Pelodiscus sinensis: one gene and its partners. The protein of the gene in region 1 purifies or fractionates together with the protein of each later gene. This does not show direct contact. Links are inferred from orthologs where the notes say so. Each region holds a gene or a part of one and is shown in the gene's direction. Other genes may lie near its edges.

What was found.
Region 2: the proteins of WWTR1 (region 1) and YWHAE purify together in Homo sapiens (co-immunoprecipitation; 5 studies listed by BioGRID and IntAct, with this or other methods). This does not show direct contact. The link is inferred for Pelodiscus sinensis from reciprocal best matches to the Homo sapiens genes WWTR1 and YWHAE.
Region 3: the proteins of WWTR1 (region 1) and BTRC purify together in Homo sapiens (affinity purification with western blotting; 8 studies listed by BioGRID and IntAct, counting the BioPlex papers as one, with this or other methods). This does not show direct contact. The link is inferred for Pelodiscus sinensis from reciprocal best matches to the Homo sapiens genes WWTR1 and BTRC.

What each region holds. Positions count from the first base shown.
Region 1 is NC_134720.1:25,965,693-25,975,767, reverse strand, and holds the start of WWTR1 (WW domain-containing transcription regulator protein 1), read left to right. Parts: upstream 1-5,411; 5' UTR 5,412-6,590; coding exon 6,591-7,012; intron 7,013-10,075. UniProt on the Homo sapiens protein: Transcriptional coactivator which acts as a downstream regulatory target in the Hippo signaling pathway that plays a pivotal role in organ size control and tumor suppression by restricting proliferation and promoting apoptosis.
Region 2 is NC_134731.1:1,403,730-1,414,462, reverse strand, and holds the start of YWHAE (14-3-3 protein epsilon), read left to right. Parts: upstream 1-6,024; 5' UTR 6,025-6,149; coding exon 6,150-6,213; intron 6,214-10,733. UniProt on the Homo sapiens protein: Adapter protein implicated in the regulation of a large spectrum of both general and specialized signaling pathways. Binds to a large number of partners, usually by recognition of a phosphoserine or phosphothreonine motif.
Region 3 is NC_134718.1:73,918,297-73,929,017, forward strand, and holds the start of BTRC (F-box/WD repeat-containing protein 1A), read left to right. Parts: upstream 1-6,755; 5' UTR 6,756-6,885; coding exon 6,886-6,933; intron 6,934-10,721. UniProt on the Homo sapiens protein: Substrate recognition component of a SCF (SKP1-CUL1-F-box protein) E3 ubiquitin-protein ligase complex which mediates the ubiquitination and subsequent proteasomal degradation of target proteins. Recognizes and binds to phosphorylated target proteins.

The sequences.
Region 1 (10,075 bases):
TCTCACGGGCCTTGAGAGACAGGCCAATCCTCACCTACAGACAACCCCTTAACCTGAAGCAAAGTCTTTCCAGCGGCCAAACATTACACCTCAGACATGCTCTCCCAGGAATCCACCCCTGCAATAAAACCTGTTGCCAACTCTGTCTACATATCTGTATTAGCAACACTATCACAGGACTTAACCACATAAGCCACCGTACAACTGCATATTCTCTAATGTGATATATGCCATCAGGTGCCAGCAATGCCCCTCTGCAATGTATATTGGCCAAACTGGACAGTCTCTACTGCAAAGGATTAATGCACACAAATCAGGTATTTTAAATGGCACAAACGTAAACCTGTAGAGGAACATTTTAACCTGCATGGGCACTGATTAATGGACTTAAAAGTAGCTATTCTTCTACAAAGGAATTTCACAAGCCAACAAGAGAGAGTGTAGAATTGACCTTCATGTGCAAATTTGACACTGTCTCCCTTGTCCTGAACAAAGACTTGAACTGGTTAACATCTTATAAAACCAGCTTTCCTTACATTCAACACCCTATTGATGTCAAAAGCTAAGCATGGGACACTTCCAGCCCACTCATTTAGTCTCATTAGCACTGGGACTACAATTGCCAGGTAATTTTTCCCCCTGCCTCTCTCTTCTTATTCTGAGGGTCCCTCCTTTTTTTTTCTCTATTCAAGACCATCTCATCTGAAGAAGTGGGTTGTGCCCATGAAAGCTCATGATTTTATATATATAATATAAAAAATTGGTTAGTCTCTAAGGGTGCGTCTACACAGTACCCTAAACTTGAAAAAAGATATGCAATTTGCACAGCGCATATTGTGTATGTTACTTTGAATCTATTTTGAAATTTGGTGCATCTACATAGTGCCAAGTTTTGAAATAACGTGCTATTTCGGGCCATCTGTTATCCCTCGTGCAATGAGGTTTACCAAGATAGCAAAATGGCATGTCCGTTATTTCAAAATACCGGGCAGCTTGTGTAGATGTGGGGTAGCTATTTCAGGATACCAAAAGTATCCTGAAATGGCATTGCAATGTAGATGTACTCTAAGGGTGCATCTACACAGCAGGGCTTAACTCAAAATAAGCTATGCAAATTGAGCTATGTCAATTGCGTAGCTTATTTTGAAATTTGGAGCATCTACACAGCACTTATTTCAAAATAGAGCACTCTTCCAACAACTTCCCTTACTCCTTGTACAATGAAGGTTACAGGAGTCGGAGTAAGAAGTCCTTCAGCTTGACAGTATTTCAACATTATTTCAGAATAACTACCTGCAGTGTAGATGCAGACTAAATTATTTGAAAATAATGCTAGTTATTTTGAAATAATGTTACTATGTAGACGTACCCTAAGGTGCCACAGAACTACTCATTGTTTTTAAAGTTACAGACTAACACGGCAAACCCTCTGAGACTTTTATAGAATGTATGTATTTTGTGTATTTATAAATTAATGTGCAAAAAAGTGTTCACTTTGTTAATGACAGATGGCTAATCCATCATGGACACAGAAGTCAGGAAACATCTGCACAAGGCTAACATTACTCCATGAATCTTTGCATATATGGTTTACATAAAATTGGCAATCAGGATAGCTTCTAATTATACAAATTCAAAGCACAGGCATCAGTTAAACTAGTCCCCAAACATTTTTTTTATTTTAACAATATATATTTTGTTGGGTTGTTTGCTACACTTACTTGTTGAGATGTTTGGATTGCTATCATTTATATAATCTTTTCTCCAGAGTTTTCACAATCATTTTAACAATTTGGCCCTTTCTGAATATTCTGTCATTTTCATTGGTCCATCATGAAAATAGAACCATAGGAATTGCCATCTACTATCAGGTCAGCGTCTCAGATGGTACCCAGTATTAGCTATGTGAGAGAAACTTGGAAAAATCCACAATGGACACTTATGGAATAAACCACCCATAGGGAAGGTGTCTTCCTAACTTTAGAAATTAGTGGTTGGTTATGTCCTAAAGTGAGAGGCTGAAGCCTCTTCTAAACCACTCTCATACTCATCCTGACATTATAATGTATCTGTTTTTAAAATATGTGGGATTTTAGAGTGCATAAAAACCTGAAATGTTGCAAGTTTGCCATTCCCTTCCAGAAACCATATACAGGCAGTCCCCGGGTTACGTACAAGATAGGGACTGTAGGTTTGTTCTTAAGTTGAATCTGTATGTAAGTCGGAACTGGCGTCCAGATTCAGCCGCTGCTGAAACTGACCGCCAGTTCTGACTTACATACAGAATCAACTTAAGAACCCCAGGCGTCCCCAAGTCAGCTGCTGCTGAAACTGATCAGCAGCTGATTCCAGGAACCCCGGGGCAGAGCAACTCTGCCTCGGGCTTCCTGTAGTCAGCGCTGGTCAGTTTCAGCAGCGGCTGACTTGGGGACGCCTGGGGCAGAGCAGCTGGGGTGCTGCTGGGTTGCTCCAGTAGCGCCGCTCCTCGGTGCTACTGGACCAACCCAGCAGCACCCCATCTGCTCTGCCCCAGGCGTCCTGATTCAGCCGCTGCTGAAACTGACCAGCAGCGGCTGAATCAGGACCTGGGGCAGAGCAGCTGGGGTGCTGCCGGGTTGGTCCAGTAGTGCCCAGAGCGGTGCTGCAGGACCAATCGGCAGCGCCCCAGCTGCTCTGCCCCAGGGTCCAAAACAAAAGCCTGGTCTGCTGGGGGGGGGCACACTAGCTGCGCCCCCCCCCCCCAGCAGACCAGGGACACGGGGAGCAGAGCCGCAGCGGCAGCGGGGTGCCGCGCCTCTGAGGCTTTGCTCTGGCAAAGTCTCAGAGGCGCGGGACCCTGCTGTGGCTGCAGCTTCAGTCCCGGTGCCTGTGGTCTGCTGGGGACGGTCTCCAGCAGACCAGGGGCACCGGAGCAGCTTACGAACGGGGCTTTCTCGCCCCGGAGCTCGCAGGTAGCAATCCGCCACCTCGACCTCCGGGGCGAGAAAGCCCCGTTCGTAAGTGCGGATCCGACATAAGTCGGATCCGCGTAAGTCGGGGACTGCCTGTAACTGAATCACCTCATGATGTAGGAGGGTCTCAGCTTGCAGTATAACTTACCTATACTTTTTGAACCAAAGGTTCAAATCCCAACAAGACTGACTCAGATATTCATCGATTAAATGTTAATACAGAGTTATAGGGTCAGGTTTCTCAGAAGTGAATTTAAAAATTTAGATCCCGCCTGTGCTGTATGAACATTAAAGAGTCCATGATAATTTTTAATATTTATTTGTGTCCTTTGCCAAAATGTCATCTTTGCACAACTACCATGATATTTTGTGTACTGATTAGTTTATCATCATGGAATCTCAGCACTTGAGACGTACTGGATGTATACAATTTGTAAAGTTCTTTGGAAAGAAAGACGAAGTGTAAATCCATTGCAAAACATGTATGTTAGGGCCCAAATCTGTAAATCTTTAATTGCTTGAGTAAGGATTAGGAGGATCAACTTTATATGAATGACCTATTGATTTATAGGGGCTATGTCTACACTGCCAGCTTTTGCGGGCAGAGAGTATGCAAATGAAGCGCTGATTAGCATTCTGTAATGCTTCTTTTGCATAATCTATTTGAGCTGTTTTTGCGCAAAAACAAGCACTGTGGACATTTTCTTTTTACGCAAAACCCCCTTTTTGCACAAAACCCTTATGCCTCTCCCAGTGAGGGATAAAGATCTTGTGCAAAAAGGGGGTTTTGTGCAAAAAGGAAACGTTCACACTGCTTATTTTTGTGCAAAAACCTCTTGCGCAAAACCAGCTCAAATAGATTATGTAAATGAAGTGTGACAAAATGCTAATCAGCACTTCATTTGCTTACTCTCTGCCAGCAGAAGCCAGCAGTGTAGACAAAGCCAGGAAGTCTGAGGAAAATGCTTTGAAAGCAACTATGACTATTGGATATAAATTAAATAGAGCAAAATGTTTTTCATGGCAAACCTAACTAGTTTTTACTGTAGGATATGTGACTGCTAAATAGAGCTAAGGACAAATCTAGAAGACTATCAGAGTAATAGCTGAAATGTGACTACCTTTGCATGTATCAGACTGATGTGGGTCATGATAACATTTTACAGAAAGTTCAGACCTAACCTGTCATCAAAAAGCCAACCTCTTTATAAATGGTTTCACTGCCTTCTATTTTTATTTGCCTGGATTCCAATACTGGTGCCTGCCATCAGAGCACCTCAGCTCTAATTAAACTATACTAGGAAACTCACATTAAAAATGGCTTCATCTAAGAAATCTTTTGCTCTGAGTGTTGAATTACACCACTTTTTTAGCTATCTTTTTTTTAAGTAACAGTCTGTTCCCATTAGACCCAAAATGCTGCTAAAGGAAACAGTTCAGAAATGTTTTTAAAAAGCGGTTTCCTAGCATTACACAAACTTTTCAGTTGTGACCTTGAGTTAATGAAATCTAGAATGACAAAGGAAAGGAAGTTTCAGAATCTCTTTTAATATAAAGTATCTGTTGCATGACATAAATGCAGACACAAACTTTAACCTGTCACCTACAAACTGTGCTAGGTAGAATGGTTCAGGCCCCCTATTCATAATATGACATTCATACAGGGGGCTCAGGGTACATCCTAGTTTTTCCATCACATAAATAAAGTATGGGCTCATATTTGTCAATGTTTCTAAATAGGTCAACTAAATTACAACAGTCAGGGCAACCAGTTTTCTTCAGCTCCTGCAAAAGCATCCTTTAATCATCTTGAAGAATGGATGAGACCTTAACTGTGACCTCAGCTCATGTTCCAGCTGGGACCACCCTTAGAATAAGGAATTAATTATGTTGGATTAATTAACAATGCAGGGCCCCAAAATACAAGTGGGTTGTAGCCTTGATGGGGTGCATCTGAGGAAGGGATCTGCCCCAGAAATCTACAGAGGTTAAAGGAAAGAGGGGAAAGTTGGGGCCTGTTGTGAGAAGCCTTACCCACCAAGATGGAGAGCTGGTTCCACCTCATTCCTTTAGGGGAAATTAAGAGATTTCCTCTAAAGGGTTGGGTCTGTGTGTCCTGAGTAAACCAAGTCTCTCCTTGCAGGACTTTTGGGTCTCTCCACCCAAGTTGTGGGGATCCCATGGGAACAGCCCTTCCCCCTCTCAGAGGTTCCCGCAGGGCAGGGCTCTTCCCCTCCCAAGGATACAGGAATCCATAAGGAAACAAAGGCCTTCCCCCGCCCCTGCAAGGGTCGGGGTCCTCCCGCAGGTCAGGGCTCGCTCCACCCCGGCTGGGTGTGTCTTGCAGAACTGGGAAGCGGGGGTGGGAGGAGATCGAGTTTCCCCTTCAGGATACCAAATATGGTAACAATGGAAAAACGGCAGCTTTGTTATTGGGATATTTGGCCCGACGCGGCAATCGGGCTGGTGTAGCAGAGCGGGGGCGCCTGTGCTCTCCTGCGGCTCTCTTGAGAGATCAACCCACGGGTCTCCTTTTGCAGCTGACCTGGCGGCTTCTTTGCTCCGCCTAATAAGGCCCCTTATGCCTGCAAGTATTGCAATCTGAACCAGCCCAGCCGGGGACTCTGAGTGACCAGAGCCCCGCAGACCTCCCCCGTCTCAGCCCCAAGCGCCTCTTCCCGCATAGCTGAGACTCACAGCAGGGCGACCTGGGAAAGGCTGGCGCTCGGAAGGGAGAAGGGGGCGGAGCGCCTGGGCACCCTGCTCATGAATAATGCCGCTCCCCAACTTTTCGCCCCGCCTCTTTCTCAGGGTTGAGATTTTTTCGCAAAGTTTGTTTGGGACGGCCCGGGAGTGGAAGCAGGCGCAGCGGCAGGCGCAGGCAGCCTGGATTGCGAGGATGTGAGGGCAGAATCACCCGCGGCCTTCACGCTCCCCTTTGCAACGCGCTGCCAGCGCAGAAGAAGCAACGTCCTGACCTGCCCGCCTCTGCAGCTGGGGGAGGAGGCGCAGAGCGAGCGACAGAACGTTCCCCGGGTCCCCACGTTCGGACTCGGAGCGTCCCGGGCCCCTCGCTCCCTCCCCCTCCTCGCGTGCCTTGCTCCCCGCTGGAATCCGGACAGCCGCCAGCTCTCTCCCGCTGACAGCCGCCAGGACTCTCCCGTCGCCCTTTAAGGGAGCCCCCCCTCCTCCCAGGGAACTGCAGCAAGTAGCCAAAGTTTCAGGGAAAGTTGCGTAACTTTGCGTGGGGGCCGACGCGGATGCACTCGATCGTGCGAGATACTGATTTGTGCCCGAGGGGACCGGCTCGGACCCCCTGCTTGTTTTGTTGCGGAGTGTCCGGGCGTTTGGGGGAGGGGGTGAAGTGACGTTTTATGGGGGGGCTGGTTTGAAGTGACTTTCTCTGCGGCTGATCGCCCAGGCCCTTGTGGGAGACACTTGGGGGGGACTCCCTGCACCCCTCATTCTTTGACCGCCCATCCCCTGGGGAGAGCTGTGGGGGTGCTGCTTGGATCCCCTCCTTCGCTGTTGACTACCTGCCCCTGGTCGGGACACAGACGCGTTTTGAGGGGAGACCCGATCGCTGTTCATTCGTTGGCGAGTTGGTTGCATTGTTGAGCTAGTGCTGCGGGGCAGAAGATGAACCCTACACCGGTCCCTCCGCCTCCGCCGCCGGGGCAGCAAGTGATCCATGTCACCCAGGACCTGGACACGGAGCTCGAGGCGCTCTTCAACTCGGTCATGAACCCCAAGCCCAGCTCCTGGCGGAAGAAGATCCTGCCCGAGTCCTTCTTCAAGGAGCCCGATTCGGGCTCGCACTCCCGCCAGTCCAGCACTGACTCGGGTAGCCACCCGCCCCGGCTGAGCGCCGCGAATGCCCAGCATGTCCGCTCGCACTCCTCGCCAGCCTCCCTGCTAGGCGCCGGGGCCGGGGCCACCCCCAGCCCGGCTCAGCAGCACGCTCACCTCCGCCAGCAGTCCTACGACGTGACCGATGAGCTGCCGCTGCCGCCCGGCTGGGAGATGGCCCTCACCCACACGGGCCAGAGATACTTCCTCAAGTAAGTGGGGCCGAGGCCCGTGCCAGACCCCCGTCCACGCGTGTCCTGCAGACTCAGGCACAGTGAGGGGGGCTAAAGGCGGCGGAAAGGAGCGTTTGGTGGGGCTGTAAAGAGTCTTGCACCGCTTGTGTGTGTGGCTAGTTAAAGGGGCCAGGCACAGGCTGTGTGTGTGTGTGTGTGTGTGTGTGTGTGTGTGTGTGTGTGTGTAAAAGGCATCTTAGATCATCTGCGTGGGAATGGGTGTGAAAGGACCTAGATTTAGCTCTGTGTGTGTGTGGGGGGGGAAGGTGAATGTAAGAGGACTTGGGACAGGTGTGGGGGGCAGATAAGGGCTTTTACCGACTTCCTTATCTGGAACATTGATGGGAAGCAAAGGAAACTCTTGGCATTGAGATAGTGGGTGGGGATAAAGGAGTGAGGTCACTGGTTATAGAAAATGAATTTATAGTCATTGCTATGTTCCTCTGGGTTGACATAGAAGCTGATGTGTGGGAGGAATTTATGGAGGCTATAACGTGGTTGCCTTGGCTTGATGATGAAAGGGGTGGGTTAGTTGTCTGGTTGCCAAATTTCTCACATGTTAATGCTGAAGTGGAGAAAGTAAAAGCTATGAGATGGTTGCCAATGAGTCTTATGTAGGTTGTTGAAACTCAGAAGTTGGTGAGAGTACAATGGAGAAGTTTATAAAACTCTCACAAATCACATACATGTAGAGGCCACAGAAATCTCAGAGAGCCATTCTACAGATCACTCCATTTTAAGGCATTTCATTCAGGAGGACCTGAGCACGCAAGTTTACAAAGGCTGGAGTCTGCTTAAAGGCTGAGATAATTTGCCATTTGTATAGTTTCTGTACCCTGTAGTTTCTTCTTGTTTTATCTCCTTGATTTACAAATTATCTTCACTGTTAGTGCTGAAAAGGAGAAATGTATTTAGGCTATGTCTACAACTGCACTTGATTGACAAACTTTTGTCATTCACAGGTGCTTAACCCTGTCCTTCCTGTGAACAAGTTTTGTCCCAAAAAGTACAAATGTGAATGCTGCTTTATCACAGGCCTGAAGACAAAGCAAAAGCTGCTTGTTGGGAGGGTATAAGTACAAACAATATTCACATATGCTTACTTTTACACTAAAAGCTGCGTAGTGTAGACATACCCTTAGACTACTATAGTTAATTCACTCCCTTGTAATATAATTTGTTGTCATGATTAATGGTTTGTCATGATTTTTTCATGATAAATTTATGAAAGGACTTTTGGATGTAGACAAGTCTCAGATGGGTAGATGTGTTAGTCTGTAACTTTAAAAACAAGTGGTCCTGTGGCACCTTGGAGACTAACAAAAAATATATAATATCATGAGCTTTTGTGGGCAAAACCCACTTCTTCAGATGAGCTTGAGTGGAGAAAAAAATAGGGTTGGGGGCTCTCAGAATTTATAACAGAAAAAAAAGGAGAGAAGAAAAAATGTACCTGTCAATTGTAGTGCTGGGTAGCCGTACTAGCATCAGCACTACAATTGACAGGTACTTCCTCCCTCCTTCTTTTTCTGTTATAAATTCTGAGAGCCCCCACCCCTTTTTTTGTCTCCACTCAAGCTCATCTGAAGCAGTGGGTTTTTCCCACGAAAGCTCATGATACTATATATATTTGTGTTAGTCTCCAAGATGCCACAGTACTTTGCATTGTTTTGGATGTAAACAGTATGGGAAGAGAAAATAAGGGCAAGAGAAAATATAGGTATGATTATTTCATGGTCTTAAGTGAATATATGCAGTGTGGCCGGCATTAAAATGTGACCTAAATGGTCCCAAAGGTTAAATGTTGCAGTACAGGCAGTCCCCGGGTTACATGGATCCGACTTACATCGGATCCCTACTTACAAACGGGGTGAGGCAAACCCACACTAGCTGCTTCCCCCCAGCAGACCAGGGAGACACGAAGCTAGCACCCCCCCCCCCCTCAGCAGACCAGGGAGACGCGGAGCAGCTTTTCTCAGCAGACACCTCAGCTTGAGAATAAAGGACTGAGAGAAGTGAGGTGTGGGAGAATAAAACTGAGCTCTGGAGAAATGTTTGGCTAGAGTTTCCCCTACAATATGTACCAGTTCCGACTTACATACAAATTCAACTTAAGAACAAACCTACAGTCCCTATCTTGTACGTAACCCGGGGACTGCCTGTATATTCACACTGATTTATTTCAGTAAGACATTCAATTATCTCTTCACATTGTTTCCACATTAATTAGTATTAATGCACATGAATTCAAATTAACCATGTTAAATAATTTAGATAGAAATTCAGGAAAATGGCGGCCTTCAGGTTTAGCTGCTTCATGTCTTCGGTTCAATCCTTTATTGCCTCGGAGTCACAACCTGCACAATATTTTATTAGTCTCAGAGGGATAGCCATGTTAGTCTGTAACTTTAAATACAGTGAGTTGTCCTGTAGCACTTGAAGGCACATCTACAGTAGGATGAGCAGTGGGGTTTGCTCACCAAAGCTCTTGATTTTATAGATTTGTTAGTCTTTAAGGGTACTCCTCATTTTTTGAGGAGTAACATTAGTTCGAACCAAAGGATTTGGTCTGAACGAACGCGTCCAGGTGCGCTCTTTCACTTTCGGAACAGCTGTGATTCGAACTAGCGCGCCCGCGAGATCATGCTAACAAAGCGCGGGATATTTAAATCCCTGCTTCATTGACTATTTCGAATGCCTGCATTTGCATCCCTAGTTGGAACTAAGGTGCGAGTGTAGACGTACGGTGAGGAGTTGCAGGACTACTTCTTGTTTTTAATGCTCTATTAGACAGTTCTGTGACATTGTACAAGACCAGGGGTGGGCAAAAGCCTCTCAGTAGGCCGATCCAGCCCGCCTTGGGCTTTGATCCGGCCTGCAAGGCAATTACAGGCCCTGCCCCCAATGGGTGTGCGCAGAGGGGGGAAAGGAGCTCAGCCCTGCCCCTCCCTCCACTCCCAGGCAGTTGCTGCAGAGGAGGTAGCGCTGGGGCTGAGGCTCCTCAACAGGGCCAGATCCAGAGTCGCCACTACCGCCACATGG
Region 2 (10,733 bases), on another chromosome or scaffold:
TTCTCCTTCACTGAGACTTTCACTCCTCAACAACACAGAAACTGTCCGAGGGGGTGGGACTGTTGTAAGGTGCCCCAGAAGCTCTCGTGAGTGTACCTCTCTGCCTCCCTTAGCTGCTCCAATTCAACTGCTCTGGTCTCCAAAGCCTGTTTGTGGTCCTCTTGCACCCAATGCACACACACACACCACCTGTCTTCAGGGCAGGGAGTCATACAGGCTACCTTGGGTGCAATAAACGGGATAGCCCCCACTCTGTTGCCTGCATTCTCTCCTTACCCCTAGAGCTAATTCCGTTTGTGACAGGGTATAGTTGAAAAGTGTAAAGAATGTTCAGAGCATCTATCTCCCTTCAAACTCCCCGTCAAATCTCCCCATAGCTGCTCCTGTTTGCTGGCTTTACATTCAGTTCCCTGTTTCTGTTTATAAACTCCCTGCCCCAAAGGCAGTGCTGCTCCCAGCTCATCACCTATCACATGCAAACTGTGTTGCAGTTAAGAACTTGGTCTGGGGCTAGGGTACAAAATTTAGGGGGGCTAGAGCACACCTCTGCACCCTAAACAGCACCCGTATCTAGGGGACTGTGTTGCCCGGGCACCCGGGAATATGTTGGTGTTGCCTGGGTCCTTAACTCAATTAATTGTTGTTGTTTTTTAAATAAAACCAGAATGTCCGTGCTTCATTTGAATCATTGCTCTGGGGTGGGGCTGGGGAGGAGGGTGCAGGCTGCCCGGGGAGAGAGGACAGCCCCAGCCCTCTCTCACTGCAGCAGCTTGGCGTGAGGGGAGAAGCATATCCCCATGGCTGCTGCAGCTCGAGTGGACACAGCCACGGGAGGGGTGCGTGTCCCCTGGCTGGGGCAGGTCCAGGTTCATTTGCTCCTGTGCTCCCCAGCCAGAGCGAGGGATGCAGTAAACGGTCCGCTTTCCCCTCGCTCTGTGACAAAGATGCTCTTCCTCCATGGGTGGATGCCATCTCTGCTTAGCAACCCATGGGCTAAGTCTACACTGCAGGCTTCTTGCACAAGAACTGTTTTGTGCAAGAGTTCTTATGCAAAAGGCCTTGTGCAAGAGTGTGTCCACACTGCCATGTGCTTTGTGGAAGAGATGTGCTTTTGCGCAAGAGCATCCATGGCAGTGTGGACGCTCTCTTGCACAAGAAAGCTCTGATGGCCAATCTAGCCATAGGGGTTTCTTGCATGAGAAATCCATGTTGTCTGTCCACACAGGAGTGGCCTGAGGCAGGCTGCGGCAGCTGGCACCCCAGGCGGAAGGCGCAATGAGCCCCCGTCTGCATGGCCGTCTCATCAGGCACCCCGTGACATCATCATTGGGTGCCCCAGGCTGGCAGTACCCTAAGCGACCGCCTCGTCTGCCTAGGCTCACAGGCCACCCCTGTGTTCACACTGCCTTCTTGCGCAAGAGCTCTTGTGCAAAAAGGCTTATTCCTCATGGGGAGAGGAATAACTTGTGCAAGTCTTCTTTCCCGATGCTGTACTGTGAATTTACTTGTGCAAGAATGCGCATGCAGTGTAGACGCTCTGCCGTCTTGTGCAAAAAGCCTGCAGTGTAGATGTAGCCATGGTCTAGGAAGCCAAAGTCCTGCTGGCAGCACCATCTTCACAGCCAGGCATTCACCTCCTGTATGCATTTCTCTCTGGGACCCTACCCTTGACTGGAAGGTTCAAAGAGAACACCATCTATTCCAAATTCCTTCACCCGTACTCCAAGGCTACGTCTAGACTGGCATGATTTTCCAGAAATGCTTTTAACGGAAAAGTTTTCTGTTAAAAGCATTTTCGGAACAGAGCGTCTAGATTGGCATGGATGCTTTTCTGCAAAAGCACTTTTTGTGGAAAAGCGTCCGTGCCAATCTAGATGCGCTTTTCCGCAAAAAAGTCCCGATCGCCATTTTCACGATCGTGGCTTTTTTGCAAAAAACAAATCTGAGCTGTCTACACTGGCCCTTTTGCGCAAAAGTTTTGCACAAAAGGACTTTTGCCCGAATGGGAGCAGTATAATATTTCCGCAAGGAGCACCGACAATCTTACATGAGATCGTCAGTGCTTTTGCGGAAATTCAAGCAGCCAGTGTAGACAGCTGGCAAGTTTTTCCGGAAAAATGGCTGATTTTCCAGAAAAACTGGCCAGTCTAGACACAGCCCAAGAGCACTGTAGTTACTTCTGACCTGCTGAGGATCACACCTCAGAGTATCACTAGGGTCCACCTTGAACAGTTCCTTACAATTTGGGTTCAATACTTATGGAAAACATCCTGTGCCCCCTTGTATTTAGCTATGACATGATGCTGTCATTTCCCACAATCCCTCCGGAACAGAAGAGTTCTGCAAGTTGCAGAGCAATAACCATGGTGGGGCAAACTGGGCACAAAGTCATGGGGGGCAGAAAAATTATGAAAAAAACCCCAAAAACTGGAAGAAGGCACAAACTGTCTTGCTTTCCCCAGGTGCTGAAATGCCTGGTGATACCTCTGGGAAGCTTGAAAACTCATCTCTCTGGTTGGGGGCCAGGTCTACCTTAGTGAGCTTACAGCTACACAGCTATACCGGGACAGGGCACTCTTCCAGCCACACGGCACCTTCTCCAATGAGCCCCAGGAGCTGTGTCTGCTGAAGATCACCTCTGGATGACATAGCTCTGTCCACGCGAGGGCTGCTGTCTGGGGAACTGATGTCACTCTGACAAAAGTGCCCGTATAGACACAGCCACTAACAGAAGTGGGTCCAATAAAAGAGATGTTCTCGCCCTCCTTGTCTTGGTAATTGTCAGTGAGTAGCACAGCCATTCCCAGCGCATAGAGCTCAGTCCAGGGCTACCACAAAATGCTATGGGGCAATAAACTGGCAGTCAGGACAAAAGCCTGGGTGTGTGGGCATAAACCAACAGTCAGAGTTTAGTGTAGCTACAGTGTCATGTAAAACCACAGCCTGATGCCAATGGCCCCTACCCCCTCCAGGCTCTGTGTGCCGGGGACCCTACCCCCTCCAGTCTCTCTGGGCTGGGCCCCCCACCACCTCCAGTCCCTGGGCCGGGCCCCCCGCCCCCTCCAGTCTCTCTGGGCCGGGCCCCCCACCACCTCCAGTCTCTGGGCTGGGCCCCCCGCCCCCTCCAGTCCCTGGGCTGGGCCCCCCGCCCCCTCCAGTCTCTCTGGGCCGGGGCCCCCCGCCCCCTCCAGTCTCTGGGCCGGGGCCCCCCGCCCCCTCCAGTCTCTGGGCCGGGCCCCCCGCCCCCTCCAGTCTCTGAGCCGGGCCCCCCGCCCCCTCCAGTCTCTGAGCCGGGCCCCCCGCCCCCTCCAGTCTCTCTGGGCCGGGCCCCCCGCCCTCTCCAGTCTCTCTGGGCCGGGCCCCCCGCCCCCTCCAGTCTCTCTGGGCCGGGCCCCCCGCCCCCTCCAGTCTCTCTGGGCCGAGCCCCCCGCCCCCTCCAGTCTCTGGGCCGGGCCCCCCGCCCCCTCCAGTCTCTGGGCCGGGCCCCCGCCCCCTCCAGTCTCTGGGCCGGGCCCCCCGCCCCCTCCAGTCTCTCTGGGCCGGGCCCCCCGCCCTCTCCAGTCTCTCTGGGCCGGGCCCCCCGCCCTCTCCAGTCTCTCTGGGCCGAGCCCCCCGCCCCCTCCAGTCTCTGAGCCGGGCCCCCCGCCCCCTCCAGTCTCTCTGGGCCGAGCCCCCCGCCCCCTCCAGTCTCTGAGCCGGGCCCCCCGCCCTCTCCAGTCTCTCTGGGCCGAGCCCCCCGCCCCCTCCAGTCTCTGAGCCGGGCCCCCCGCCCTCTCCAGTCTCTCTGGGCCGAGCCCCCCGCCCCCTCCAGTCTCTGAGCCGGGCCCCCCGCCCTCTCCAGTCTCTCTGGGCCGAGCCCCCCGCCCCCTCCAGTCTCTGGGCCGGGCCCCCCGCCCCCTCCAGTCTCTGGGCCGGGCCCCCCGCCCCCTCCAGTCTCTGGGCCGGGCCCCCGCCCCCTCCAGTCTCTCTGGGCCGGGCCCCCCGCCCCTCCAGTCTCTGGGCCGGGCCCCCCGCCCCCTCCAGTCTCTGGGCCGGGCCCCCCGCCCCCTCCAGTCTCTGGGCCGGGCCCCCCGCCCCCTCCAGTCTCTCTGGGCCGGGCCCCCCGCCCCCTCCAGTCTCTCTGGGCCGGGCCCCCCGCCCCCTCCAGTCTCTCTGGGCCGGGCCCCCGCCCCCTCCAGTCTCTCTGGGCCGGGCCCCCCGCCCCTCCAGTCTCTCTGGGCCGGGCCCCCCGCCCCCTCCAGTCTCTGGGCCGGGCCCCCCGCCCCCTCCAGTCTCTCTGGGCCGGGCCCCCCGCCCCTCCAGTCTCTCTGGGCCGGGCCCCCCGCCCCCTCCAGTCTCTGGGCCGGGCCCCCCGCCCCCTCCAGTCTCTGGGCCGGGCCCCCGCCCCCTCCAGTCTCTGGGCCGGGCCCCCCGCCCCCTCCAGTCTCTGGGCCGGGCCCCCCGCCCCCTCCAGTCCCTGGGCCGGGCCCCCCGCCCCCTCCAGTCTCTGGGCAGGGCCCCCCGCCCCCTCCAGTCCCTGGGCCGGGCCCCCCGCCCCCTCCAGTCCCTGGGCCGGGCCCCCCGCCCCCTCCAGTCTCTGGGCCGGGCCCCCGCCCCCTCCAGTCCCTGGGCCGGGCCCCCCGCCCCCTCCAGTCTCTGAGCCGGGCCCCCCGCCCCCTCCAGTCCCTGGGCCGGGCCCCCCGCCCTCTCCAGTCTCTGGGCCGGGCCCCCGCCCCCTCCAGTCTCTGAGCCGGGCCCACCGCCCCTCCAGTCCCTGGGCCGGGCCCCCCGCCCCCTCCAGTCTCTGGGCCGGGCCCCCCGCCCCCTCCAGTCTCTGGGCCGGGCCCCCCGCCCCCTCCAGTCTCTGTGGGCCGGGCTCCCCGCCCCCTCCAGTCTCTGTGGGCCGGGCCCCCGCCCCCTCCAGTCTCTCTGGGCCGGGCTCCCCGCCCCCTCCAGTCTCTGTGGGCCGGGCCCCCCCGCCCCCTCCAGTCTCTGGGCCGGGCCCCCGCCCCCTCCAGTCTCTGGGCCGGGCCCCCCGCCCCCTCCAGTCTCTGGGCCGGGCCCCCGCCCCCTCCAGTCTCTGAGCCGGGCCCCCCGCCCCCTCCAGTCTCTGGGCCGGGCCCCCGCCCCCTCCAGTCTCTGAGCCGGGCCCCCCGCCCCCTCCAGTCTCTGGGCCGGGCCCCCGCCCCCTCCAGTCTCTGGGCCGGGCCCCCCGCCCCCTCCAGTCTCTCTGGGCCGGGCTCCCCGCCCCCTCCAGTCTCTCTGGGCCGGGCTCCCCGCCCCCTCCAGTCTCTGGGCCGGGCCCCCGCCCCCTCCAGTCTCTGGGCCGGGCCCCCCGCCCCCTCCAGTCTCTGGGCCGGGCCCCCGCCCCCTCCAGTCTCTGAGCCGGGCCCCCCGCCCCCTCCAGTCTCTGGGCCGGGCCCCCCGCCCCCTCCCGTCTCTGAGCCGGGCCCCCCGCCCCCTCCAGTCTCTGGGCCGGGCCCCCGCCCCCTCCAGTCTCTGGGCCGGGCCCCCGCCCCCTCCCGTCTCTGAGCCGGGCCCCCCGCCCCCTCCAGTCTCTGGGCCGGGCCCCCGCCCCCTCCAGTCTCTGGGCCGGGCCCCCCGCCCCCTCCAGTCTCTCTGGGCCGGGCTCCCCGCCCCCTCCAGTCTCTGGGCCGGGCCCCCCGCCCCCTCCAGTCTCTGGGCCGGGCCCCCGCCCCCTCCAGTCTCTGGGCCGGGCCCCCGCCCCCTCCAGTCTCTGGGCCGGGCCCCCCGCCCCCTCCAGTCTCTGGGCCAGGCCCCCGCCCCCTCCAGTCTCTGGGCCGGGCCCCCCGCCCCCTCCAGTCTCTGGGCCGGGCCCCCGCCCACATTACAGGGCCCCGAGGGGCCATCCGCCCCCATTTCCCAGGCGCCCCACGAGCCGCCCATCGCCCCCCAGCCAGGCGCGGCCGGGCAGCAGCCAGGGCCCCACCCCTGAGCCTCTCCTCGCGCCGGTTGCCAGGGAGCCGCTGTTGCCATGGCGGGGCGGCCGAGGCGCATGCGCGCGCTGGCGGAAGTGCCCGGATATAGCAGGAGGAGGCGCTCCCGCCGCCATCTTTGCCCGTAGCACAGAGAGCTGGTCGCGGCGGAGCATCCCGGACTCATCCGCCTCCATCCAGCCCGCGCCGCCCCCGCCGCCGCGTCTCTCGGACATGGACGATCGGGAGGACCTCGTGTACCAGGCCAAGCTGGCCGAGCAGGCTGAGCGCTACGATGGTGAGCGCCGGCCGGGCGGGCGCCGGGGAGGGCCGGGGGAGAAGGGAGGGAGCGGTCACAAAATGGCGGCGGCTGGGCAGGGGGGCAGAGGCGGCCGGGGGGGGTACGAACAAAATGGCGCCTGGGGTGGCCCCGCGGGGGCGAGGCAGCCGGCAGGGGGGCGCAGGGCCGAGGGGGCCTCGCCCGGGGGGGTCAAGGCGCGGCGGCGGCGGGGAGCCGGAGTAAAATGGTGGCTGGGAAGGGCGATCCCGGGGGTGGGGCAGGGGAGCCGCCCCCTCGCGGGCGCCCGACCCCCCCCCCCGCGCCCTTTCTCGTGCCCGCCAGCGCGGGCGGGGTGGCCCCTCCCCACGGAGCCCTGCCCAGCAGCGGGCCCAGAGGGAGGGTCCGGCCTGGGGGGGCCGGGTCACGTCGCCGCAGTCAATCTCCAGCCACCCCGCTGCGTGTGAAAGGGGGGCCTGGCCCCTAGGGGGGCCCTTCTGCGCCTCCTTCCCAGGCCTGGCCTCCTGGGCGCGCCTCCGTGTTCTGCCTGCCCTAGGCTGGCACTGTGGCTCTTTAGGGTACGGACCCTTCGGTCTCTTAGCTCTCCCGGCACAGGCCAGACTCAGGTACGTGCATCTTATTAGCCTTAGGCTTCAAATGATCGTGAATGGGAATATCAGGCTTTTTGAAGAGTCGGGGGGGTTTCTTTAAAGTTCATGGGCTGTGCTGATTTACATATTTGTAGGGAGTTCAATATCCCTGAGCATTGAGGTGGTTCTTTCTGAATGAACAGTAGGGTAATATATGCAATTGTCAGGGTCTGACACAATCTGCTTGTCATGCCACACCCTTGCTACTTATTTAAAACTAAATTAGATTCCTAACTGTTATGCTTGCCAATAAAACAAACTGAATGGGACTGTGGTGTAAACCTATGGGATACTGGCCTCCTGAGCTGTCATCAGTCCATTCCCCTGCATCAGTTGCTGGTCCTGTCTTTCCCAAGTGACAAGATAAAAAATGATCAGGATCTTTCTTACCATTACTGTTCAGAGCACCCCTGGAGGCAGTAAAACTGACAAGAATTAGGTCAGCTTTTCTCTGGAGTGGCTACCATTAGTAATGTGCCAACACTGAAGAAATATATATATTGGGGGGGGGGGGGCACAAAATGGAGCCCCTAAGAAGAAATACAAATAAATGCTGTCCTTTGGAATAGCCATGAGTCTGGGGAAGTGTTAGAGCAGTGGCTCTCAACTAGAGGCCCATGTACCCTTGTGGGAGAGGGGTGTACATAGGGGTCTTCCATGGGCGCCTCAACTGATCTAAATATTTGCCTAGTTTTTATGTAACCAGTTGTAAGGGTACTAGCAAAGTCTGTACAAACTAAAAGTCACACAGTGACTGGCTTGCTTTAGCTACTGTACACCAGAGAGGTAAGTGTAATGGTTATATTCCAGCTAACTCATAACATGTAAAAATGAGAACAGTTTTTGAGTAATGACATGCTAGGACACTGTATTCTTGTGCCTCATTATTTGTAAAGCAAGTCACTTTTAAGTGAGGTGAAACTTCAGGGTATGCAAGACACAGCAGATGCCTGAAAGGGATTCAGTAGTCTGGAATGGTTGAGAGCTACTGTGATACAGTAATTCAGAATTCACATATTTTTTCCCAGTACAGTCAGTCCCCGGGTTAACGTACAAGATAAGGACTGTAGGTTTGTTCTTAAGTTGAATTTGTATGTAAGTTGGAACTGGTACAAATTGTAGGGGAAACTCTAGCCAAACATTTCTCCAGAGCTCAGTTTTATTCTCCCACACCTCACTTCCCTCAGTCCTTTATTCTCAAGCTGAGGTGTCTGCTGAGAAAAGCCGCTCCGGGTCTCCCTGGTCTGCTGGGGGGGGGGGGGGGGCGCTAGCTTCGAGTCTCCCTGGTCTGCTGGGGGGAAAGAGCTAGTGCAGGGTTGCCTCACCCCGTTTGTAAGTAGGGATCCGATGTAAGTCGGATCCATGTAACCCGGGGACTGCCTGTAGCTGGAGAGGGGTTTAAAACATATTGGCTCTCTGCTAGACCATGGCTGTGCCATACGACTTACTTGTCAATGCTAGGTTTCCTGGTATATTAGCAAATTGTAGTTTAGATGCAGCTTATGTTGGCAAAAACACTTTTTCCTGGTATAACCACATCAACGTAAGGGTTTTTGATGGCATATCTGTGGTGACTGGCGATGCTGGGAAAACTTACAAGAAGACAAGGCCCAATTTTGAGCCCCCGTGCAGGGTCTAAACAGCATTGTGATAGGCATTCTAGCATGTTTCTGTGGGGGGAGGTGGCTGTTTTTTAGGAAGATGTATGCATCTGCATAGCATTCCCATGGTATTTCTTCTTAGTGCCTGGTAATTTTTCAAATTCTGTTATGACAAGGGAGGGAAACAGTTTTTGATGGTGGGGGCATTCCAAGGTTTTGGAAGTGGTCAAGGGTCGCACTTGTGTGTGGAAGAGGTGTGGGGCTTGGGACTGAGGTTGGGTGCAGAAGGGAGCTCGGGGTTACAGTATAGGTGAAGAGAGGGTGTGGGGTCTGAGAAGGAGTTTGGGTGAAGGAGGAGGTTGTGACATGGGGCAGGGCATTGGGGTGTGGGAGAGTGGGGTGTCGGATGTAGGCTCTGGCTGGGAGACACTTACCTAGGGATCTCCCAGCCAGCAGCAGCTTTGGGCAGGCTTCCTGCCTGATGGTCCTAGTGGGGTGGGCTGGCAGTCTTGCCTGCTTCTGTAGTCTAGGCATCTGTAGTGTGAAGCAGCCAGTTCTCATGATGATTAGGATATTAATTTGTTGGATTTGCCTCTTGGTGAGATTTTCCATATACGTTTTGTGTCTTTATCAATGTCCATTTAGGAAAAGGAAGCAGAAATTGGCTAGTTCAAGAGGTGAAATGTTATGCATTATGCAGTTGTATGGCTGATGAGATTTTCAGTTCATCAGATTTTTGTAGAGTCCAAAGCAGTTTGGTGGAATGACGCTGTAAAATAGAGCAACAGTTGAAAATCATAGTTAAAATGCATTTTTGTGTTTGTGCTTACCTTAGCTTTTCATTGTATATGTGGGGGTAACTGGTTTAACTAACTGCTTCAGCCTCCCCTGCTGGTCCTATGGAAATTAGCTCTTTCCACTGCTGGCACCTTGCTCTGGTGGTGCCTTGCTTGCCATTACTAGCTGTCTCTCCACCACGCCATGACCCATGTCCTGCCCAGACTGCGGTGCCCTTGGGTACTGAACTCTGGGGTTCCTGCTGCCCCCCAGTCCCACCACTTGCCTCAGTGACCCACTGCAGTCATTCGTTTAGCTCTTCCCTTCAGGGCAAGCTGCAGTCTGAATTGGCCACTCATCATTGATAAAGATGGTAAACCTGTTGCTCACTTCCCCCCCCCCCCCCTTCCTGCAGCCCTAGTATCCTTTTGGCTCCTGGGAGTGGGTCAGGCCAGAGCTCCCCTGACCTTCCCCAGCACTGCTGTGACTCTGGTCACTCTCTAAATATAGGTAGTGAGTTCCCTTGTCCAGAGTTGGAGACATACTGAGCTACTTCTGCCTTGCAGCCCATTTTATAGGGCCTAGCTGGGACCTGATTAGCTGCCTTAAGCCTTCTCTCAGTTGGCTCCTAGAGCAGCCATGTCCCAGGCCTGTTCTAAACTTGCCCCCTCAAGCTCACCTCCCTTGCTGTAGGGGGGTTTCCTGGCCTGTACCACATCTGGGAGGGTTGGTCTCCCAGGGCCCCTTTTCTTTGTAGCCTGGGCACCTCTTGCAGCCTGCTCTACCACAGCATTTGTTCCCATTTCTGCCATGTGCCTTTTGTCTGCCACCTGCAGGTGGCTCCCTGGCAAGTCCACTGCCATCACTGTGGCATTCGTCCTGCCTGCCAGACTTTGATCTAGTTGGGTCCTCAGGCACCTCTTTGTTTGGCTACCCTCCCTGACCCTCTTTGTGATCCTCCTCCTGGCACCAGAAACAGGCTTCTTGCCTTCTCTGGGCCTTAGGCCTTCCTTGCTCCTCTTCTGGTTCATTCCCAACTCCCGACCTGCTCCCTTGGTCAGAGTAATCCCTATGTAGGTACCCCTTCCCCTAGGTCCAGAATGTCCACCCTTTCCTGGTTTGCCCCACCGGGCAAACTCTCCTAGGGTCTTGCCCCCTTTCTCTGCTCCAGGTGAGGATTCCCGCCCCCATCCTCATACAGACGATCAACCCTTAAATATCCTCAATGACCAGAGGCGTAACAAGCCCTCTGCTCTAAGGGTGCTAAGGAGCAGGTATTTGGCTAATCGTATAGTCAGTACAGTGTGTGTCAATAAGGGGAGGCACTCTGCAGAGCTGCAGACTGATCAGGGACCACTGTGGCTCTTCCTGTGCTTCAAAGCAGAAGCACCAGGGGAAGCCTGGGGCGAGTTGGGGACTCAAGCAGTCCCCCACTGGCTCCTTGCTGCTTTGCTTTTGAAATGTACAAGATTGTGTCCCCAGCTTGCCCCAGGCTCCCCGCAGTGCTTCTGCC
Region 3 (10,721 bases), on another chromosome or scaffold:
ACCCTGAGCAGTTCCATTTCTTGGGTGTGAAAGGAAGTGCCTGGGGGGCTCGCCACAAGATCTCAGGTGGCAAGAGGGCGAGCTGACTGCAAAGTAGAAAACCCAGAAGCAACCCTTTGAGTCTGTCCCTGCAGCGTCCGATCCAAAGCCACAGCGGCCGCAGCGCTTGGCCCTGCATGCTGGCTTCCGGTTCAAGCCTCTGCTGGGAGCTCCCAGGCGCTGCCAGCCGCCCAGACAATCCCATTCTAGGGTGAAGCCTGTTCTTGGGAGCAGCGCCCTGCACAGATATCAAGCGGGTATCTGCAGCCGTACCCGCCAAAATGAGCAACGTCCGCGGATGCCTGCAGCTAGGCAGTGGATGGCTGCACATTGGCAGGGATCCAGACGCAACAGCTGACTCCGCCTCCAGATCGGCAAACGTAAGTCGTGAGGGTCCGCCCCCAGCCCTGCGGATGTGGGTACGCGCAGATGGACGGTGGCTATCTGCACATCTGCAGGGCTCCCCTTGGGAGCTGCCCAGCCCTAATGGAAGCACCGCCAACCTTTTGGAGGAAACGGATGTCTCTTCCAGCTCAGATCACTGGGCCAAGCCCGCAGTCCCAAGGCACCTCTGGGACAGGGGTACCACAGCTGGGCAAGACCCCTGGGGAATCAGGACTTCTCCCGTTACCACTAAAGCACCTCCTGGCTCCCCCACCCCCTTTCAGTTTACCCACCATCCGTCTCCTGCAGACATGTGTGGTGTTCAGGACATTTTCCACCGTGCCGCTCTGAGCCCAGCCCAGTGGGCAGGGAGAGGAGGAGTTTGCCCAGAGAACACCAGCTCCTACTCGGGCCAGTGGAACCCCTGCTGCCGATGGAAGCCGGCCGGACGCTCCGAGGAGGGGAGGAGGCTGGCTCACCTGACTTGGCAGGAAACGCCCGGCGGAGGTGAATTCCCCCACGCGATTCCCAGCTCTCCCGCCAGGCCCAGAGCCGCCAAGCACCGAGAACTGTGCTAGGCCCAGAGCTGGGCAGAGGAGGCCGGACGTGGCCCAGGCCCCAGGAGCCAAGAGGGTGCGCGCGGGCTGCCGGCGGCCCAGTTCTGGGAACCCTGCACTGTCAGGACGCTTCTGCTAAAAGCTCTTTATTCCTGGCAAGGCCCCGGCAGCTGGAGGCACAGGGGGGTGCTACTGCAGGGCTAGGACCCAGCCAGCAGGGATGCCAGGCACTCCGGGCAGCAGGGACAGAGCAAAGTGCCCAGCTGTCGCCGCAGAAGGAGCCTTCAGACTCTGAGCTGGAAGAGTGGGGAGGAGTCGCTCGCACTGCCCTTCCTGGGCCCGAGGTCCCTCCTAGCTCTACCTCTCTGCTCCTCCTTGGGGGCTCCCCAGGCCCGGTTGTCCAAACCTAGTCCTGGGCTCCCCACTCCTCCATGTGCTCTATTCATGCCTCTCGCTCACACTTTGGGCTCGGGGGTGTCCTGCGTGCAGCAATCAGTCCTTGCCCACAGACAGTCACACGCCAAAGGGAACGAGGAGGCCGTCTCCTGCCGATTTCCCCCTTCCCCCTCCGTTCCCTTTCTTTCTTTTCATTTCGGCAGGGGAAGCATGAAGGCCGGAGCCTGCCAAAGACGAGGAAAATAAGTCCAAGCGCACACAGATGGCAAGCCCACAAATTTAATTTCAAACCCTCCTTTATTATTCAAAATATGAAAATTCCGGCACGAATGCCCAAAGGAACGGCTCTGATGAAAGCTCCCGTTTTCATGGGCTGGCTCCTGCCGTTTCCTCGGAGGGGCGCAGGGACAAGACAGGAAGCCCCTCTGGAATGCAGCGAGAGGCAGCGAAAGACCGGCGGTAGATGGTTTCACCAGCCCTGTATTTACTGACCCCAACATCTTCACTTCAAGCAAAGCACCAGCTGTTCTTTATCCAGTTAATGATTGCCGCCGCATTAATCCGGAGCCGTACCGCGGACGTGGGCTGCCAGGCACGAAGCAATAAGACGGCACAGAAATGATCCCTGTGGTAACTGTATGGGGAGGCCGCATCTTTCATCTACCCAAACTCGGCACCTGGCACGAGGCTCGGCACAAAATGCAGCCACCCGTGCAGAGCTCAGCCACTCCGGACAGAAAATGGGATCCCCTCGATAACCGCTGTCCGGAGAGGTTTGGCCGGGACACCCCTGCTGGGGTGGGAAAAGCCCGCAGGACCTTTGATCCAAATCGCGCTGTAAAAAGGCATTTGTTTCAGATTTGCAGGGTGTGATCTTATTGGGTCAGGAGACAGGATGGGAAAGGAGGGGTGAATCCATTTCCTCTGCATAACTCAGGGTGCTTAAATCAGGTACCGAGACCACGGTCTATCATGCTGTTGCGGGGTCGACAGAATTTGCTTGGGCCCTGGGCAAAGTGTGTGTGTGGGGAGGTTTCGTGCTCCCAGAAGGGGTGGGGCCTTAATCAGAAGGGGCAGGGTGGGGCCTCAGAGGGAATGAACAGAACAGGGCAATTACCATCCCCTTTCCCAGCTTCTGGCAGTTAAGGGCTTAAGACATCCAGAGCATGGGGTTGACTCCCTGATGGTCTTGGCTAGTAGCCATCGATGGACCCATCCTCCATGCATTTATCTAGTCGTCTTTTGAACCCACTTATACTTTTGGCCTTCACAATATCCCCCAGCAAGGAGTTCCACAAGTTGACTGCATATTGTGTGAAGAAATACTTCCTTTTTTTTTTTTTTTTTTTGGTTTGAAAGTGCTGCCTATTAATTCATTGGGCGACCCCAGGTTCTTGTGTTCTGTGAAGTCAATAACACTTCCCTATTCACTTTCTCCGCACCATTCCTGATTTTATAGACCTCTCTCATAACTTTGCCTTCACTGTTTTCTTTCTAAAGCGGAAAAGTCTTGAGTCTTTTTAATCTCTCCTGCTATGGAAGCTGTTCCATTCCCTGATCTTTTTTTCTCCCCCTTCTCTGTACATTTCCCCATATGAATATATCGTTTTTCAGAGAGGGCAACTGGAACTGCACGCAATATTCCAGGTGTGAGCCAGCCAGCGATTTATATACCGGGAGTTCCCAATTTACGAACGGGGTGTGTTCCAAAAGTTCGTCTGTAAGCCATTTGTTTGGAACTTGGAATGCATTTTCCCATAGATACAACGCTGTAAATGGCAGCTGAATTCCCAAGCTGTGAAGGCAGCGCCGTCGCCAGTAGCAGCATAGAACAGATGGCATGGGGCAGCGTATTGCTACCCTTCTGCATTGGTGCCAGTGATGGTGCTGCCTTCTAAGGTGGGTAGCTGGAGAGCTGTAGCTGCTGGCTGGGGGTTCTGAGCTACCATGCCTAGCAGTGCTGGGCTCTAATGCGGCAAGCCCATTGCAAATGAAGCACACAAGACGTTAACAATTGCCTCTGCTTTTTTCTCTCTCCCTGAGTAAAGCTCTTTGGGGGCAATGTTCATAAGAATGGCCAGACTGGGTCAGACCAACGGTCCATCTAGCCCAGTGTCCTGTCTGTCAACAGCGGCCAATACCAGATACCCCAGAGGGAGGGAACACAACAGTAATCCTTACCTGATCCCTCCCCGTCCCCCACCTCCGAAGAAACAGAAGCTTAGGGACACCATTCCTACCCAGCCTGGCTAACAGCCTTGATGACCTAACTTCCATGAATCTATATAGCTCTTTTTTGAACCTGGTTAAAGTCCTGGTCTTCACCACATCCTCTGGCGAGGAGTTCCACAGGTTGAGTGTGCGCTGAGTGAAGAAAAACGTCCTTTGGTTTGTTTTAAACCTGCTGCCCATTCATTTCATTGGGTGACCCCTAGTTCTTACATTGTGGGAATAAGTAAATAATTTTTCCTTTCACTTTTTCCACACCACTCACGATTCTATAGACCTCTAGCATATCCCCCCTAAGTCTCTTCTTCTCTAAGATGAAAAGTCCCAGTCTTTTTAATCTCTCTTCATATGGGACCTGTTCCAAACCCCTCATCATTTTTATCGCCCTTTGCTGAACCTTTTCCAGTGCCAAGAGATCTTTTTTGCCAATATAGCTTTAACACACAAGCAACTCCATCCCCACTCTGCAATCGAACCATCTCATAAACACTTATGATATGGGATGAGGAGTGGGTGATGTCTGCTCCCCAAATTCCCTCACAAGTCAGCCTGTCTCCCACAATCTGCCATGATAATCCCCCTCCAGTCAGTGAGCCTGCATCAGGACTCCAGATCTCCTTACACCTCGCCACACTTACACGGCTGCAGCGTGGCCCTGTGTAGACACGAGCCACGTGGCTTGTACTGGTGCAAACACAAGTGTGTGAAATTCTCACAAGGGTTTCATCAGCGCATGACCGTGGTGCAGCAGTATGTGCGTCACTTCCCATCATAGCGATGTGCCTGCATTCGCTATGTTGACAGCTGCTCCCATGTGTGTCATAGGTCCTATACCGTTCAGCAACCGGGGGAGATTCCCATTTAGCTGAGATGATAAGGATCTGGTTCTAGCCAGGCTGATGCAGTGACGTTCTCAATGGCTGTGGGGTGCCCTGTGCTGCCATGAAATCCTCTGTGGTTTGGCACCACAACACACCTGTAGGGCCTTAACCATCCCTCTCATGCAGGGGCATCTTTTTTGGAAAAAGTCGGGCATGGAACTGGCTGTGATGGGTTAGTGGTCTGGTCCCATCTCTGAGGGGATGCAGGGAGGAGACAGCCTGGTCCTATCCTGGGGCAGAGATCAGGACCTAGCTCCCTCTGTGGTCTGCTCTGGGGCTGCCATGGCAGGATGCAGCTTCCTGCCCAGCCAGTGGGAAATAGGGATGGAGCTGATAATGTGGCACTTTAGGAACCTAGGCCTGCTCCAGTAGCCTCCCCAGGCCCAGGGAAGACCCTGCAGCAAGGCCAGGAAGGAGCTACAAAGGATGGAGCATGCATCCCTCCCCACCCTAAAGCAAATGGTGCTCCCATGAACTCTACCCGTCCAGCCATGGAACAGGGTCGCTGTGTCTCCACCAGTGCCACACGGGGTCACTTGCAGACACTTCCTCCCCGCAGCAGGAGTTACTTGCTTTCCTTTGCAAGGCCCTTTGTGGTCTATGTCCACCCCATCTGTAACCACCCCCCCCCCCCCACTCCTCCTGCCTCTGCTTTGCCAATGCCTGGAGCCTTTGTCACCCACCAGGTAACATTTTCAAACAAGCGGTTGTCTCCTTTACCACCTCTCGCACCTACGGTGTCGCGAGACGGCCGTCCAGCACTCCAACCTTTCGGCACTTCCTTCCACTCCTCGCTGGTCTGGCGGAACTACCTGCTGGCTGTAGATTGCAAGCTGTTTGGGGCAGGGACCAGCTCTTTGTTCCGTGTCTGTACAGCGCCTAGCGTAACAGGCACCACCCCCACTGGCAGTTCTAGGTGTTAGCGCAGTGCAGGCAGCGAGGACAAGGGGGAATTGCTAACTCGGGAGCATCAAAACGTTGGGGGTTGGACCTGGTGAAATCACACAACAAACGTTGGGCTGGTGCAAGAGCTGCCAAGCTACAGCTGTCCCACTCGTAAGCTTCCTCTGCACCCATCAGAGAAACGTCCTTAAAAAAAAAAAAGGCAAGGGTTGCCCTGTGCTCTAGATCAGGGGCAGTTAAAATACAGCTCATGAGCGGCCACTGGATCCCTACCTGCCCCACTCCTGCACGCTGCTCAAAGAAGTAAGCTAGCTCTATGCTTATGTGACTGCTGTGAACCTGGGGAGAGGCTTCTCATCCTGCCCCTGCCCCAGCACAATCTCACAGCTCCCATAGGCTGGTTTCTGGCCAATGGGAGCTGCCTGTTCTCAGGACCGGCAGCACGCAAAGTACCCCTCTCCCGGGCTCACAATGTTTAGAGCAGCTTCTGCTTTGAGCAGCTTGTGGGGGCATGGAAGGCAGGGAGCCTGGCTGAGAAACCTGCTGGGCAGGGCTGTTGGCCAGGAATTGTTCAGGTAAGTGTCTCCCAGCCGAAGCCTGCCTCTGGCACCCAGCCTCTTCTTTCCCCCAGTCCTCTACCCCCCGTCCTTCCTGCACTCCTGTCCCACATAACCCAAATCCTCTGCACCACTGATCCTGCACCCATATCCCCTCCTGCACCCCTCCTCCAGGTCACAATCCCCTTCCAGACCTTGCACCCTCATCCCCACCCCCAGTTACAACCCAAATCCTTGCACTCCCGCTCTAGATCACAACCGCCTCCCAGATCCTGCACCGCTGCCTCCATCCTTCCTCCTGGTCAGAATCCTCTCCTGCACCACCTCTTGCACCTCTCCTGTCCCAGGTCATAGCCCCCTCCTGCGCCCGCCCTCCATCCCACGCCCTGCACCCCTCCGGTCAGAGCATGGAAGATGCAGCCCTCGACCGACTTTCCAAATTCTTGGAGTGCCCCCTCCCATCAAAAACTACTGCCCCCCCCCCTGCCCTGGCTGGGGCCAGGCTGCCCCGCGTGCACCTGACTTGATGCCCTGCGGAGGGGCTGCGATTCTAATCACGCGACTCCAGGAGCCGGCCGGCCAGTGGCCGATCAGCTGGGCGCATGGGAGTCCTGGCAGTGCTCCTGCTCCTTCCCCGCCTACCGCCCCGCGCAGACTACAACTCCCATCGGCCCCCGCGCGCCCCCCGCCAGCAGCCTGCCATGCGCACAGCTGCTCTGCGGCCGACAGGGCCCGCGGCCGCGCGGCATGCCGGGAGGTGTAGTGCTTCCGGGCCGCCCGGGCGCTTGCCGGGGCCGCGGCCGGGGACTACATTTCCCGTGGGCCTGCGGGCGGCGCGCGCGCCCTGCCGGGGGGAAGCGGCGGTTCCTGCCTGCGCTGGCTGCGGCCTGCCACTGAGGGACTGGGCGGCCCCGGCCCTGGCCCCGGCGGGGCGGGACTATGGAGCCGGCCGAGGCCGTGCTGCAGGACAAGGCCCTGAAGTTCATGGTGAGCCGCCTGCGGGGCCGGAGCGCGGGGGGGCGGCGAGGGGGAGGGGCGCGCTGTGCGGGGGGGGGCTGCTCTACGGGAGTGCCGGGGGGGGGGGAGATGGGGGAGCAGGACACCGGGGGGGGGAGGGCGCTGCTCTACGGGAGTGCCGGGGGGGGGGGAGATGGGGGAGCAGGACGCCGGGGGGGGGAGGGCGCTGCTCTACGGGAGTGCCGGGGGGGGAGAGATGGGGGAGCAGGACGCCGGGGGGGGGAGGGCGCTGCTCTACGGGAGTGCCGGGGGGGGAGAGATGGGGGAGCAGGACGCCGGGGGGGGGAGGGCGCTGCTCTACGGGAGTGCCGGGGGGGGGGGGAGATGGGGAGCAGGACACCGGGGGGGGGGAGGGCGCTGCTCTACGGGAGTGCCGGGGGGGGGGAGAGATGGGGGAGCAGGACACCGGGGGGGGAAGGGCGCTGCTCTACGGGAGTGCCGGGGGGGGGGAGATGGGGGAGCAGGACACCGGGGGGGGGGAGGGCGCTGCTCTACGGGAGTGCCGGGGGGGGGAGATGGGGAGCAGGACACCAGGGGGGGGGGGAGGGCGCTGCTCTACGGGAGTGCCGGGGGGGGGGAGAGATGGGGGAGCAGGACGCCGGGGGGGAGAGGGTGCTGCTCTATGGGAATGCCGAGAGAGGGTCAAGTGGTGGGGGAGCACGGCCCTATGGGGAGAGCTGGGGGAGCGGTACCTGTCGAGTCACAGATGGGGGGGCTGCTGGCAGGGGGAGGGGGTGCTTGGGGGAGCAGGCATCTGCGGGATAGGTGAGTGCTAGGGTGGGGGGTTACCAGCGGGTGGGAGATTCAGGGCTGGAGAACAAGGCATGGGGGGTTCTGAGCGATGCGAGTGCCAGAGCGATGGTGCGGGAGGGCCTGGGGAAGTTGGTCATGGGGATGGGTGTCGCAGGGTATTGAGACTCTCAAAGGACTCTGATAGGAGAGAAACGGGTTGGGGAGTGCGAGAGCAGGGGGCACTTAGGATAGCATTAGGTGGGGAAATCAGCCAGGGTGCAGAGTCAGGAAGAAGGCAAGTTCTGGAGTGTGAGAGGCAGGGACCTTGGAGCAAGGGTGAGTGCTGGGATGGGGGTGGGGGAAGGCACCTGAGCCTTTGTAAAGTCACAGTGAGATCTTTGTACAGTGTGGGCAGGGCTTGGGGTATCTTTTGGCTGCACTGGCGGATGCTAGTTGATGAGCATAGAGTTTTTTAGGAGGTGGGCTTAAATGCTTGGATTTGGGCGCAAGAGCATGTGGACGAGAAACCTTGTGCTGGGGATCAGGGAGGGACCTGCAGATGTGGCAGTTGGGGATCTGAAGGTATGTTTAGGACCATCAGAGAACTGTAGAGATTCTAAACAAGATTTCTGGCCTGAGTGGTGGTAAGAGATGATCAACGAAGTATTGGTGCGAGGTGAGGTTTTGGTTCTGCGTAGAGTATTTGGGGTGCACATCTGCTCTCCGTAGTCTTTTTTTCTTAAGCCCCTTTTTAGCCTGGGTATGGAAATATACATAGTGACATTTTACCCTGTTACATCTGCCTGCTCTATTACATCCTTGTTAATAGAGAGGATGCAAAGAGCCTTTACATTGTCTTGGGTTATAAATTGGCCTGTGGCACAGAAAATAGCTTTGGCTATCAGTAGCCAGACGAGTTTTCAAATGTGACTGGCTTTTTTAGATTTGGGGTAATACACCGAGTGAGACGACAATTATATTCCTCCTTTATCATTGTTTATATTTCTAAGTTGTTTGATTGGAAAAATAGCATCAAGAAACTAAAGCAGAGAGTGATGCCAGCTTTAGTTTAATACTAATTTTAGACGCTCTAAACTGTTTTGCTTCTAAGAATACATTTCAAGTGACTGGCAACATTTGTTGGAAGTTTATTTGTTGTGAATTAATGCTTTCACTGGCACAGAATTAAATCTGTGCTCATAAAGAACATAAAATACAGCTAAGCTTTTAGAATGTATGCCCAGTATGGAAATATTGAAACACCAGATACAAATCTTGGCTTTCCTTTGCATTTCAAAAGTCGGTAGAAATTCTAAATTGTTGATTAGCTTCTTTTTTTTTAATCTTGTATAATTGGTACATATTTTTAAATCTCTTATGTCCAGATTAGGAATGTTACATTTCAAGTTAATCAGATAATTGAGGAGACAATGGAATTTCCATCGACTACTCGATTAGTCGATAAGGGGGGCACTTGCTATCCTACTGCGCCTCTCCCTTTGAAATGTCCAAGAGCCGCCCATGACTCTTGTACATTTCAAAGAGAGAGAGGTAGCAGAGAGCAAAGAAATCCCAGCTGGTGTGGGTTCCCCTCTGTGCCTCTTCCTTTGAAATATACAAGAGTCACAGGCAGCTCTTGTACAGTCCAAAGGGAAAGGACCAGCGCTAATGGGACAGTTTAAATCGTCACTTGCACTGTTTCCCCGCTGCCCCCTGTGGAGAGGGTGCAGGGGTGGGAAATGGCTTTTAACCTGGCTCCCCCAGTGCTGGCTCTTGCTCCCCCCCTCCTTACTGCCCCTCTCTGATAGAGGCAGCAATGGAGGGGGAGAAGCAACTAGTCAAATTCCTACTCCACTGCTTGAGAAGCATTTATTGGGTAGTCGACTAGTCACATACATCTGTAGTCCAGGTCATTGAATTCTTTTGCCAGTTCCTGTATTTTTGTCAAGTTTATGGAAGAGGTGAAAAAGATAGGGGGTGTCAAAATATCCTTGGGAGTTTAAAAAAAAAAAAAAAAAAAAAAGCCCTCGCCATATGTAATTGACTAGAGGAATGTGCCATGGCTTGTTTGTTATATATCAAGTCATGGTAATCCACTCATTTGTGACCTCTAGAGTTGATAATTACGACTCATTGTAAGTAGGCGTTATGGAGACTTGTGCCCTGAAAAAAATTCCAACTGTCTACTTAGTAGCATAGACCGCTATGTTGGTGCTCCTGATTCTGCATTGGCTTCCTATTGAATAAAGAGGGTCAATTCAAGATATTTCAATCCCTCCATGGTACTGGCCCTAGCTACCTGTCCCTTCATGACCACAGCCTGGTTGTGTTTCATTGGAACAATGAAACCTTCAGTCCATTGGGAGAGGCATGTCCGTGTGGGGGAGAGAACTTTCCCAGGAACAGGCCATAGACTGTTTAACTCATTCTTGATGTTAAGAATGACCAAGGGCTTCACTGCATTGAGAAATAAATGACTAATGGACTGCTTTTCCCTAAGACAGTGTTTCTCAAAATGGTCCGTGGATCTACTCCGGTTTGTTTGTTTACCAGCTCCACAGCCACGAGCCTCACTGCTCCCGTTGGCTCCAGTTCACCATTTGCAGCGAAGGGGAGCTGCAGGAAGTGGTGAGAGCCAGGCTGCTGCTTCCCATGGCTCCCCTTGGCTGCAAATGGTAAACCACAGCCAGTTGGAGCTGCGAGGCTCTGTGGCTGCAGAGCTGGTAAATAAACAAACCAGAGCGGCCTGTTAGCAGCTTTCTCAGAGTAGCTCTGTGGACCACTTTGAGAAACGCTGCCATAAAAGAAAAGTGTTCTTCTCTCTCAGACTTGCAAGACCCACAAGAAAAAAAATCAGACAAGAAAAAAGATAAACTAAGCATTTTCTTTTATAGACTGGAAGGGAAGAGACTTTTATTTCTAGAACTGCCAAAAGTGCTAACGGGTATATGTAAGCTATCTCTTAAATCAGCTTCTGTACCAGTGGCCTGGAGGATCTCTAATGTGATGCAAGTTTTTTAAAAAAG